2 linked regions of the Drosophila melanogaster genome follow. The protein of the gene in region 1 purifies or fractionates together with the protein of each later gene. This does not show direct contact. Each region holds a gene or a part of one and is shown in the gene's direction. Other genes may lie near its edges. The genes, in order: Zw10 and rod.

The links.
Region 2: the proteins of Zw10 (region 1) and rod purify together in Drosophila melanogaster (affinity purification with western blotting; 5 studies listed by BioGRID, with this or other methods). This does not show direct contact.

The regions. Positions count from the first base shown.
Region 1 is NC_004354.4:2,602,656-2,607,454, forward strand, and holds Zw10 (Zeste-white 10), read left to right. Parts: upstream 1-1,541; 5' UTR 1,542-1,647; coding exon 1,648-2,997; intron 2,998-3,058; coding exon 3,059-3,874; 3' UTR 3,875-4,169; downstream 4,170-4,799. Other genes in the region: Klp3A (Kinesin-like protein at 3A), read right to left, coding at 39-190, 264-943; Smyd3 (SET and MYND domain containing, class 3), read right to left, coding at 4,171-4,541, 4,607-4,799. UniProt on the Drosophila melanogaster protein: Essential component of the mitotic checkpoint, which prevents cells from prematurely exiting mitosis. Required for the assembly of the dynein-dynactin, Mad2 complexes and spindly/CG15415 onto kinetochores.
Region 2 is NT_033777.3:31,579,095-31,586,963, forward strand, and holds the start of rod (rough deal), read left to right. Parts: upstream 1-1,856; 5' UTR 1,857-1,928; coding exon 1,929-2,024; intron 2,025-2,086; coding exon 2,087-2,424; intron 2,425-2,513; coding exon 2,514-2,861; intron 2,862-2,921; coding exon 2,922-3,121; intron 3,122-3,185; coding exon 3,186-3,394; intron 3,395-3,449; coding exon 3,450-4,150; intron 4,151-4,210; coding exon 4,211-5,478; intron 5,479-5,539; coding exon 5,540-5,934; intron 5,935-5,994; coding exon 5,995-6,503; intron 6,504-6,561; coding exon 6,562-6,931; intron 6,932-6,988; coding exon 6,989-7,253; intron 7,254-7,323; coding exon 7,324-7,869. Other genes in the region: pygo (pygopus), read right to left, coding at 1-536.

The DNA.
Region 1 (4,799 bases):
TCAATTTTCAAGCCAGTGGCTAAATGATAGATACTCACATCCCAGGGCATTGATCACGTTGCCCAGGGCCAGAAGACCCTTATTGATGTTCACACCCTCTTTGAACCGATCGCCGCTGGCTAGGGTCTTTGAGCAGCGTTCAGAACCAGCCAGATCCACCAGGTTGAACCTGGACGTGGTAACGGATTGCCTATCGGAGATTGGAGGTCAAATGTGTATAAGCATTAAGTATTCTAACGAGGTGATGGCGGCCCACAACATACTTGCCGTCCAGCTTGGTGGCTACTAGCGTCAATGTGAATATGGCATGGGATCTTGAAGAGGTTTCATTCATAGCCGTGGCGGCCACAGCCCGTCCGGCTGAGCCGCGGATCAGATGATCGGTCACTTGCTGGGCGGATGTGACCACTAGCTCGGTGAGGCCCGGCATGATAATACGGTTCTTGACCTCCCTGATGTCTACGGTGGCCTTGTCCCGAGTTTTCGACGAAAAAAGGTCATAGAACTGCTCCTGGTAGAGCTCCACAAAAGAGCATGTGACAGCAAAACGAAATTCGCTCTGCATTTCCGCAATGGCTGTGAATATATCATGAACGGCGCGTGGTATAACGCCCACATGGTCATCTAACACTCCGTTGAAGGCGGTGCCCATAGTGTAGGTCTTTCCGGAACCCGTTTGTCCATATGCCAAGATTGTTACGTTATAGCCATTTAACAGCTTTTTCACTTTGGCCTGTACACACGTCTCGAATAGATCCTTTTGCGAGTCGTCAATGTCGAAGACATAGTTGTACGTATACGACTCATTCCGGTTGACTGTAACCTGTGGCGCTCCATCCGCCGATCGTTCGACGGCAATCCGGCAGCCGCGATCCAACTCGGACTGCACCAAGGGGCGCACGCGCAAGGCCACTGCCACACAGCTGGGATCCTCGCTGGACATCTGGGGGTAGGGGGAGGGAAGGACAATCATAACATTCCATCACCTTTACCGCCATCTCGACCAACACCACCAACCACTTACCTTCTCTGGGGCACAGCAAGTCCGACTTTGGTTAACTGATCAACTGGTTAGCACTTACAAAAACTTAGAATTTTGGTTGGTCTAGATTTTGGAGCAACGCGGCTTCTCCACGCGCAGCCCGGCACTCTCAATGAATTCGATTTTTGGATCAAGGAACTAAACTAATGAAACGCGACGCTAAGAAGCAAATGCATTTCTGCCAGTATTTTTAAAAATGGCGTTGTTATCGATTCGTTGCAGATGTCGATTAGTGGCGCGATCGACGGAGGTGCCGGTGTAGAAAGATTTCGATTTTTTTATAATTTGGCTCTTGAATAGCACATTTGCAAAAATGTGGTTGGACGATTTGTGCACGCCGATTTGACAAAATGAATCATTGACAGTGTATCTACATACTTATACATAAAAATAAAAGCTACCTAGATCTACAACTATTTTAGCTACTGCCAGTGATAAGAGCCCAATTCTTGTCAACTAGCCAATTCGCCGATAGCCGATAGCAGACAGCCGCACATATCTATCGCTTTTTTGAACAATCGTTGGTAGCAACAGGGAATTGCAGAAACCAGTTGTCTTGGGTTTCGCAAGAATTGGAAAAGGAGGATCTGGTCAAAGAGCAGGACATGGAGGAAGAGGCGCCGCGGTTCAATGTGCTGGAGGAGGCGTTCAACGGCAATGGGAACGGGTGCGCCAACGTGGAGGCCACCCAATCGGCCATATTAAAAGTGCTGACGCGCGTTAATCGCTTCCAGATGCGCGTCCGCAAGCACATCGAAGACAACTACACGGAGTTTTTGCCCAACAACACGTCGCCGGACATATTTCTGGAGGAGTCGGGGTCCTTGAATCGCGAGATTCACGACATGCTCGAGAACTTGGGTTCCGAGGGACTGGACGCCTTGGACGAGGCGAATGTCAAGATGGCGGGTAACGGCAGGCAGCTGCGAGAGATCCTTTTGGGTCTGGGTGTCAGCGAGCATGTGCTAAGGATCGACGAGCTGTTCCAGTGCGTGGAGGAGGCCAAGGCCACCAAGGATTACTTGGTGTTACTGGACCTTGTCGGTCGTTTGAGGGCTTTCATCTATGGCGATGATTCCGTTGACGGGGACGCGCAGGTGGCCACGCCAGAGGTTCGACGCATCTTTAAGGCTCTCGAGTGCTACGAGACCATCAAGGTGAAATACCATGTACAGGCATATATGCTGCAGCAGAGCCTCCAGGAGCGCTTCGATCGCCTGGTGCAGCTGCAGTGCAAATCCTTTCCCACATCGCGTTGCGTCACCTTGCAGGTGAGCCGGGATCAAACGCAGCTGCAGGATATTGTGCAGGCTCTCTTCCAGGAGCCCTACAATCCGGCGCGCCTCTGCGAATTCCTGCTGGACAATTGCATAGAACCGGTGATCATGCGCCCAGTGATGGCCGATTACAGCGAAGAAGCCGATGGTGGCACCTACGTTCGATTGTCGCTTTCCTACGCCACCAAGGAGCCCAGCTCAGCGCAGCTTCGCCCGAACTACAAGCAGGTCTTGGAGAACCTCAGGCTGCTGCTGCACACGCTGGCCGGGATCAACTGCAGTGTGTCCAGGGACCAACATGTTTTTGGCATTATTGGCGATCATGTGAAGGATAAAATGCTGAAATTACTGGTGGACGAGTGCCTGATACCAGCTGTGCCCGAAAGCACGGAGGAGTATCAGACATCCACGCTGTGTGAGGATGTCGCCCAGCTGGAGCAGCTGCTTGTAGACTCATTCATCATCAATCCCGAGCAAGATCGAGCCCTAGGGCAGTTTGTAGAGAAGTACGAGACCTACTACCGCAATCGGATGTATCGTCGAGTTCTGGAAACGGCGCGGGAGATCATCCAGCGCGATCTGCAGGACATGGTGCTGGTGGCGCCCAACAACCACTCAGCCGAAGTGGCAAACGATCCCTTCCTCTTCCCACGCTGCATGATCTCGAAAAGTGCTCAGGTAAGTCGTTCGCTAAACGAAACGATTGATTACGCACTAATGGATTCATTTTCGCCGGCAGGACTTTGTCAAACTAATGGACCGCATTCTTCGCCAGCCCACGGATAAACTGGGCGACCAAGAGGCCGATCCCATAGCCGGCGTCATTTCCATCATGCTGCACACCTACATCAATGAGGTGCCCAAGGTGCACCGCAAGCTGCTCGAGAGCATTCCACAGCAGGCCGTCCTGTTCCACAACAATTGTATGTTCTTCACACACTGGGTAGCGCAGCATGCGAACAAGGGCATCGAAAGCTTGGCGGCGCTGGCCAAGACACTGCAGGCCACCGGTCAGCAGCATTTCCGCGTGCAGGTCGACTACCAATCCTCCATCCTGATGGGCATCATGCAGGAGTTCGAGTTCGAGAGCACGCACACGCTGGGCTCTGGTCCACTGAAGCTGGTGCGTCAGTGCCTTCGCCAGCTGGAGCTGCTGAAGAACGTGTGGGCCAATGTGCTCCCGGAGACCGTGTACAATGCAACCTTCTGCGAGCTAATCAACACATTTGTCGCCGAGCTAATCCGTCGAGTGTTCACGCTGCGCGACATTTCCGCACAGATGGCCTGTGAGCTGAGCGATCTCATTGACGTGGTGCTCCAGCGGGCGCCCACGCTTTTCCGCGAACCAAACGAGGTGGTCCAGGTGCTCTCTTGGCTTAAGCTGCAGCAACTGAAGGCCATGCTGAACGCGTCGCTCATGGAGATCACAGAGCTGTGGGGCGACGGCGTCGGCCCGCTGACCGCCAGCTACAAGTCGGATGAGATAAAGCACCTAATCAGGGCGTTGTTCCAGGATACGGATTGGCGGGCCAAGGCCATTACGCAGATTGTATAGGGCGCGTGCGCCTTTTTTGCGAGCGAGGAATGTTGAACGGCGGATAGACATCACATTTGAGGTGGTAAACGGAGTCTAAATTTGATGATCACCATCAATGTGTCCTTACTTTAATTCCTTGAATTGTTTACCACAAATGCCAAAAGTAATAGAATTTGATAATCTTTAATTCTCCGAATGGTTTCTGTTGTACATAGAAAAGTAATTATCCACAAAAATCCATTCCATTCTTCCCGCAACGCAACACAATATTTAACTTAAGACTTATTTAAATGAATAAAAACAACTAAATCCCATTAGTGCGCCTCTTGTCGCGCTTGTAGAACGAGCATGTATAGCTGCTCAGTAAGCAGTCTGTGATCTCGGCCGTGGGTGACGGTTAGGATGCGTTGGGCCTCCTCCAGATGGTGCAGTGCCTCCTTGGAATGGCCCTCGTAGAGCTGAATCTTGCCCAGCTTCATGTGAAGCAGGCCCAATAGCGGATTCCAGGGTCCGTGGTATTTTCGAAAGCCTGGCAGCAAACGTTGCCCGTAATCCAGGGCGTCGCTCCACTTGCCCACTTCGATGGCTGCTTCGAAGGCCGCATCGAGCGTCTTGACGTACCACACATTCAGGGGATGGAACACGCCAGTCTGCTTGTCCAGACACACCTTGCACACATCGAGATCTGTGATCGAGAGAGTGAAAATGTGCTTATTATGGAGCTAATTCCATTTCGTCGCATCTACTCACAGGCCACGTCCTTCATGTTCTCCAGATTGTGCCGGGTCAGAGTCATCGCCTCGTTGAAGGCATTTCTCAACTTGGGACTGATGCCGGCATCGCATCGCGGGCAATTATTGCGGTCCACACTGATTCCCGCACCGCAGTTGCGATTGGGACACAGGGCAGCCAGCATCTCCTTCGATTCCTTGGCATCCGTGCA
Region 2 (7,869 bases), on another chromosome or scaffold:
GGATGTGGGCCATGTGGGTGACCCATAGGTCCGCCTGGATGATGCGGGTGCATATGGGGATGCATGTGAGGCGGGGGAGGAGGTCCACCGCCCATGCCCATGCGGTCTTCCCAGTGCGGGTGCCCACCCGGTCCACCGCCGCCAAAGTGACCACCTCCTGGTCCGCCGCCCATCTGATTCATGGCCGCCATCGCCGCGGCCGCTGAGCTGGACATCGCCGACACCTGGGGACTGTCGTCGAATGGATTCGAGGCAATAATGGTGTCTCCGAAGCCTCCCATTGGCGGAGGGGGCAGCAAATCCTGCGGTGTGGGTGGCGCCTGCTGCTGCTGCATGGAATTCGCAGCAGCTGCTGCAGCCGCCGCCGCAGCCACCGCTGCAGCGGAGTTGGCGGCACTTGAGGTTTTTCGCCGCTTCTTCGGATTGCTCGGCGCCGAGATGATGTCCGTGGGAGGCGGCGGCTTAAAATCGGGCGGACAGAGTCCGCCCGCTGGACCCGGCAATCGATATGGCGCCATACCAAGATTGTGGGTCATATTCGAGGTGTTCTTCTTCCGAATGGTGGCAGCTTTTCTTCAACGGCGTGGGGCAAGAAATTCGGTTGTAGCGGCGTCGCCAATCCCGCGCAGGAGATCTCGACGCTGGTAAAGGAGTGGGTTTGGTTCTGATGTCCCTAGGGAGGTGGGCACAAATCCACTGGATCCTTCGGTGACCAACTACAATGGGTTATGCTTGGTGGGCTTGGGCTTTCTGCCGGTTATCCGGCCTGCGACCGCCTGGAGTTTGAGTTCCTGGGAGTGTGAAGGGTGCCAAATGAGTATCTGGCATCCTGTGGGTCAGTCCTCCTCAACTACTCACCAAGACATCTCCTGGCCAGGACCCTTATGAAAATCGCGTTTTTAAAGCAACTGACTCCCAAAACGCAGGTAAACACTTTCGGCGCAACGAACGGCAACCCCGCTTATTTTTCGGGTTGGCAACTCTACCCTGGAAACCCAGCGTCGTGTTGTCTCGTTTCAAAGCGCCAAGCACCTGCCGCTTCTCAGTTTCTTACTGATCCTTGATCACTTCAGGTCAGGAGTTCGTTTTTTTAGCACTCTGCACTGCGGTTTGCCACTAATTCCCCTTCATAAACCCTTCAAAGGGCGCTTTCTGGCAGCGCTCTTCTTCTTGCCAGCGATTTTATGTCCTCCGCTGCGCTTCCCGTTCCGTTTTAATTGCAGTGCAGCGCTTAACTGTTGTTTATTTACGGGTTCTTTTTGCGTTTGTCTTTAATCGGAAAACAAAACAACCGGCGGTTATTTCCCAAGGAAATTGTGTTAGGGTTTACGCGATTTGTGAAGCCTGCGTTTTCGGTTGGCTTTTTGTTGATTTGATGGCCACTGCAGCATCCACTTTTAATTAGCGCCGTTTATAGGAGCGGCACACGCACGGATTACCGTTACGCGGATTCGGCGGTCCGGCGGACTGACCACTGAACCGTTATATAGCAGCAGCACATTAACCTTTGTTTATTTTGACCAATTTTTGCGTGCGAAGAAGCGAAATATAAATAATTTTCATTGCAAGTCCGCCAGTGTGACCGTTTGCGCACGTCAAGAGAAATGCCGGAATTCCGTCGGCGGCTCAGTGTGGCCAAAGCAAGCCAGCACGAAGTAGTTTGCAACTACGTTAACATTTAAAAAGTAATAGGTTTAAAGGAGAAATTACGATTTGGACATACGTCATTTAAGTAATAAATATAAATTGCGTAAACGTATTAGCCCCAAGGTCAATACGTAGTGTGTCTTCATGCCGCCAATCGTCTATCGATATGCGGGTAATGTTATCGGCAAACTCTCAGGCGACGCTTGTTTATTGGCGGTGTTTAAATAAAGAGTTTAAAATTGGCAGGTTTTGCACATTAGGCTAGAGCGGATTGAACAGCAATGTGGAGCAACTTCGAGGCGTCCTCCCTGGAGGACGAAACCATCTCCAACATATTTTCGTCGCGAGGCATCTTCCAAATAAGCAGTGAAGAGGAAGTGAGTCCTTATTGTGCAGAATCTGCAGTTGGGTTTCTACGCTCGCCTTCTTTCATTGTCAGGTAAACAAATATCCAGATGTCATGGCCTCCGTGCAGTGCGGCAAGATGGTCATTGGCATCGACAAGAGCCTTTTGCTCCTGGAGGACGAACTGGTGGCCAAGTGCAGCTTTCTGGCATTCGGGGCAGCCATTGAGGCCATTGCCATTTCTTCAAGCGGCAACCTGATTGTATGCGGCCTCAGCGATGGCGAAGTTCACGGAGTGTTCATCAAGGGCCTGCTCCTGTTCAGCGTGGCCGTCAATCTGGAGGACGTGAGCCTAACTGGCGGGACCTTCCGGAGCATCCATCAACTGGATCAGCGGTTTTACTTCACCTGTAAGAATGGAAGCATCTATAGGTAAGCCATTCACAGAGATGGGCTCTGGCATATGCGTGATAAAACTGGATCTTGACATTATTTCATTAAACGATTCAAACGCTGTGTAGCTTAAGCGACATTGATGAGACCTGCTTGGAAACGTTAGGCAATATGAGCCTGAATGAAAACGAAACTATAGCTTGCGAAAAGGCCCTGCTCGAGGACGTCACCATTCAACGTCTTTCCAAGGGCAGATCCTCGTGCAGCGTGGACTGTGCAGTGCTGCTCAAGCGGCTGCTGACCGGCAACATCAGTGCCGAGAACAATCAGGATGATCTGGAGGCGCAACCCGGTCTAGTTATCACTGGAGATCAAAGCACTATGAACTTTAGGAATGCAGCCAATGACGTGACACGAATAAATTTGCCCGCTCAGTACGGCAGCCTAAAGCAGATCTTCAACTTGGAACACTATATGTGAGTGGGTTTGCTTATTGTGGTGCTAGAATCCCTCTAACGTGTATCTGGGTTTTGCAGTATCGCACTCACCGATTCCGGCCACTTGGTGGAGATTTGTCCATACACTCGCACAGTGTACATGTGTCAAACTACCCAACAAAAAAATCTGCTCATCGAGGATCTGCTGGTTATGGAGTGCAGCGAAGATAACATTGAGCTTCTGGTGCTGACGAAATCAACGGCGGAGGGACGCTTCATTAAGATAGTGGAGTACCCAAGTATGAGTCCAGCAAACATAAAACATAAACATACAGTAAGGCTAAAAACCTTGTGTCATTGCAGCGCTCAATGTGAAGAACGAGGTAGAAGTTCCTGATCACGCATGGCTTGTGCGTCAGCCTAAGTGTGCGGTCAATCTGTATTATCTGGCTGCCAAGGAAGTCAACCAGAGCAGCATACCCTCCGTGGTGGAGATGATGCTCGTTTCCGAGACCGACCCCAGTGATCGTTTTAAGAAGCTGATTTGCAAGGGGCGACTGGAGGAGGCTGAGGTATTGAGTATAATTGATCTCTTAGTCATTCATTATCCATTAACATTTGCAACAGGAATTTGGCAAGCAGTTTGAGCTGTGCCTCCAGCCCATCTATGAAGCCAAAGCGAAACGCATTTTGGTCGAGCTTTGCAACTCGAATTCACAAAACGTGGACACTAAATTCCAAGACTTGCTGCAACTGCTGTCTCAGGTGGAAAGTAAGGCATTCATAAAGAGCCATCGCATGATCAACTTGAACTCGAGGCACATCCTTGAGCGGTATCTTCACGAGGTCAAGAAGCGGTTGACTTTTGAGGACGACGAGGAGGATATGTTGGAAATCGACGAGCAACTGCACCGACTTAAAACTCTGGCCATAATAGATCCCTACGAATGCAACACGGATTGGCAGAAGTTTATTTACGATAACAACTTGGTCAGGATGGTCAAGTCGCTATTCAACACAGATATGCCCACGGCTTGTCTCATTTGGCGGCGGCATTCGAGCAGCATTCTGCCGCTGCTAAACGAAGATGAGTTGCGCACGCTTTTAGGGTTCATTCCGAGCAACACCAAGCCCTTCAACGTTGTCCAGTGGTTGCGTCAGTTCATTCCGATGGTCAGCAACACCCATCCTAGCATAATGCCCTTTATCACTGACTGGAGTATTGAGATGACGCGGAATCTGCAGTATAGTCCGCATTGGCCGGATATCGGCCTGGAGTTCTGCACAAAGATACTGGACATTTTTGAGGAAATCCAGTTTACTTACTCGTAGGCAAATCCTTTTTTCGCCCTAAAATATGATAGATTTAACTTGTATATCCGTTTCAGCGATGTGCGGCGTCAGCAAGAGCGCAACGTTGGAAAACTGCGGGATCTTGTCAACGCACTGCAGGATCTTTCTGTGCTTAAGACCAACTATAACATGGGCTTTACACTGGACAACTACATGCAGGATTCCATCGACGCCACTGCGTTGAGCATTTTGCAACACGTTCAACTAGATAAGCTTCAGCGTCTGGTGAAGAACTTCATGTACCCGATCTTCCAGGAGAAGGGACGGCAGCCACTGGACGTGATTAAACAGTACATATCACAGTTAGTAGCCAGTCGGCTATCTTCTAGTTCATGGCTGGATCGGGCGATGGCTTGCATTGAGCTGCTTCACAACGAAGACAGCCGTTTGGAGTGCGCCTTGTCTGTGCTGCAAAACGCACCTGTGCCCTGGCCTGATACACTAGCTCCTCTAATCCGGCTGCGTGCCTCCACTCATCCATTGGCCGTGAAGATCAATGCCGAGTATGAGATTCAGGTGATTAAGATCATGAAGGTCAAGTACGGCTGGCCGGCCGACAGCTCCGATATCAACCTGGAGCTTTTCATGATGCGCATTGTGAAGTTGAACCTTCCGGACATGCTGGACGACATCAGCGCCCTCACCAAGGCGGCGCCGGAGTTATCAACTAGTGCCAACTTTAACTGCTGCTATCAAATGGCACGGAGAGGACAAGTTGAGATGGCTTATGAATTCTTCAAAAAGCTGAATGGTGAGAAAAATTCGAAGAGCGCGAAGGAAGTGGTGGAGATCATGGCTAACATCTTGGAGAACAGCTCCTCTGCTTCGTTTGAAAGTGATATTAAAGTGCAGGAGCACCTGAACGTCCTTGAGCTTTTTAAGTTGTTCTTGCCGCATGTTGAGTCCGTTTATGAGCGCCGCTACCTAGTGATCAAGCATCGTTTCCGCCTAAGGAAATTCGGCATCCTTTTGAGCTGCAGCAGCGAGCTGATACCGCTGCACAGACGTCATTGCCTTCTGGATGAGGCCATTGAAAGGATAATTGAGCGGGCCCAGGCCACGCTGAATGTGTCCGCATTCATAGCCAGCGAAATAAGCGAACTGTGTACCGCTCTCGGTCTTCCGAAAGTATTTGGTTTGCACCGCATTTGCCAACGCATTGGATGCCTGCCCCTCAGCTGCGCCCTCGCTTATCATGTTGTAAGCTTCGTCGACTGTGTGCCCGCCAATGCAGGCGAGTTCGTCAATCTTGCACTTGAGCTGCTGGTTCAGCAAATTGAAAGCGCCAAGGGAAAGAATCAGGGTAAGTCGTATACAGCTATGCAACAATGGGATTGAACGAAAAATCCATTTATGTTTTGCAGAAACGGCCTCCTCCCTGCAGTTGATCAATGAAAACGATCCGCTTAGCTTTTATTTAGCGTACGAGTTGCTCACCTCCGCCCTGCTCCACGAGAGCAGCCGTCGTCACGATCTAGTTGAACTCATCAAATACATACGCGTGGCCGTAATCCACTACCCGCTAGACGCCATTAAGAGTCACTACGACGGCAAGGAGCAGGCCGTCAACGAGCACATCTGCCGGGCCCTCGATGGGATTTCGGTAGCCCTGGGCGAAACCACAATAAACTTCAGTTGTGCTCTTAACGGATCCTTTGACGTGAAGACTCTGACGGTTCCAACGACTACGAAGAAGCGCTACTCGGTGTCCATGTTTGATGAAGTAGAAGTGCAGCCTATCCAGCAGCAGCCTCAGAAGGTATTGATCGTAGACAGCTATAATTGACTATAGTTATAATGCTTTCTGTTGTCTTCGAAGAAAAGCGTCGGAGGTCGCATGGCAATAGTGAAGTTCTTGGCTCGCACTCTGTTGCTTATGGTAATCGAAACGGAGCCAAACAACTCATTGCTGATGCAGGTTCGCAATGAACTGCCGGAGAACACAAAAGCGGATGTCGAAAGTGCTTGCGCTGACTTCTTTCTGTCACTGGAGCACTTGACGAAGGTGAAGGAGCACGACGCTTGGTACGTTATGTCGCAATATCTGCTGGATTTCCAGAAGCAAAACTGTCGCACGAAGCGGATCATCAACGAGGGCTTTATTACGCTGCAGCTGCGCCGCATATTCCGAAATGCGATGGGGAGCAAAGATGTGAACTTCATAGAGCTTTTCACCATGTTGGTGGTGGACAGCGAGGCACTAGCGCTGCTGGAGAAGCTCTCCGTTGAAGTAAAGACCGATCTGCAAAAAATCAACTTCCTGACACTATCCGCCATGTACCACGAGCATATCGAAGACTTGGACAGTGTGCACATGATACGCACCAAGTAAGTGAAGTATTACATTAAAAGTCTAGATGTTAAACTTCGTTTTATTGGTTTGCAGGAGATTGAAACTCTTCTATTACCTGGAGTTTTGCCAACAGGATCATAGAATAAAGGGCAAGTTCAATGCCGACATGGACAACATAGAGGACCTGCTTAAGGAGTTTCACAATAAGCAACTTGACGTTCAGCTTTTGGAACGCATGAGCAAGGACTTTGGGTTCGACTACCAAAAGATTCTTATTACCCAGATACTAAGCATATTGAGCGCCCAGGAGTTGCGCTTCGAGGTGAAGAGGGATACCTTCGGCGACGAGGAACTGGTTATGCTAAGCAGCGCCCAGGAAATGCGCGATATGTGCCAACCGTACATTAATGAAATCAATAATGTCGAGCTCTTTACTTCCAAGTTAAAACACTTTATTGAAGACGTAAGCTCACTGATGCCACAAATAATCTTTTTTTTAATATCTTTGCAAATCGTTTAGATCAACATTTACTTCTACGAGTTGTACATGTGTGTGATCAACATCCTAATGTACTTCGATTCGGCTCCGAAGGAAATGGAAATCTGGATGAACATTTTGCACTTCCTGAGACACAAGATGATCACCAGAAGACGCAATCGGCCAGGTCAGGTGGAAACCGACACGTGGCTGAAATCACAAAGGGAAAATGGCGTTATGCCGAAGATATCTCGATATCGTCTGCCTTTTAAGCCCATCGTAGAGCAACCTCTTAAGGATATTCTTGGTATATTCAACTGAAATAGTTTAATGCTTAATGCTTCTGTTTAATTATAGTTTCCGCTTCTTCTATTCAGACAGCGAACTAAACGTGGACAACTGCCAAAGCTGGTTTCCACTGATTCAGATGTACACGGCTTTGAAGGGATCCAAGGATAGTTCCCAGAACTGTGACTACTTCTGCATGTCAGCAGTAAAGAATTCGATATCGGAGTACAAGTCGAAAAATGATTCGGAATCATGGAGTCTTCATCCCACGAATAATGCCTTCCTGCAGTCAATACTACGACTGGTCGAGAAGGTGAACAACCCAAACAAGGCATTTCTAATACTGTACTTCGTGTCCAACTATGCTCGTGATGGAGCCGATCAGGTGGAGGCCTCCTACGAGTGCTGGAAGTTTGTCAAGGAGAAGGGCCACCTGATTACAGATCCAAAGAGTCGCGAGCAGGTTGCCAAGGTGAAGCGACGGTATCCTATTCAGAAGACCCAGCACCTGCTGTATGTCTATGGCCTGACCGATGAGAAGCTACTGCGCCAAGTTGAGAACCCCACCGAGCTTATTCAGGCGCTCTACCACCATGAGCTGATCCTCAAGTCCAGCAAAGTGGATATTAACGCTC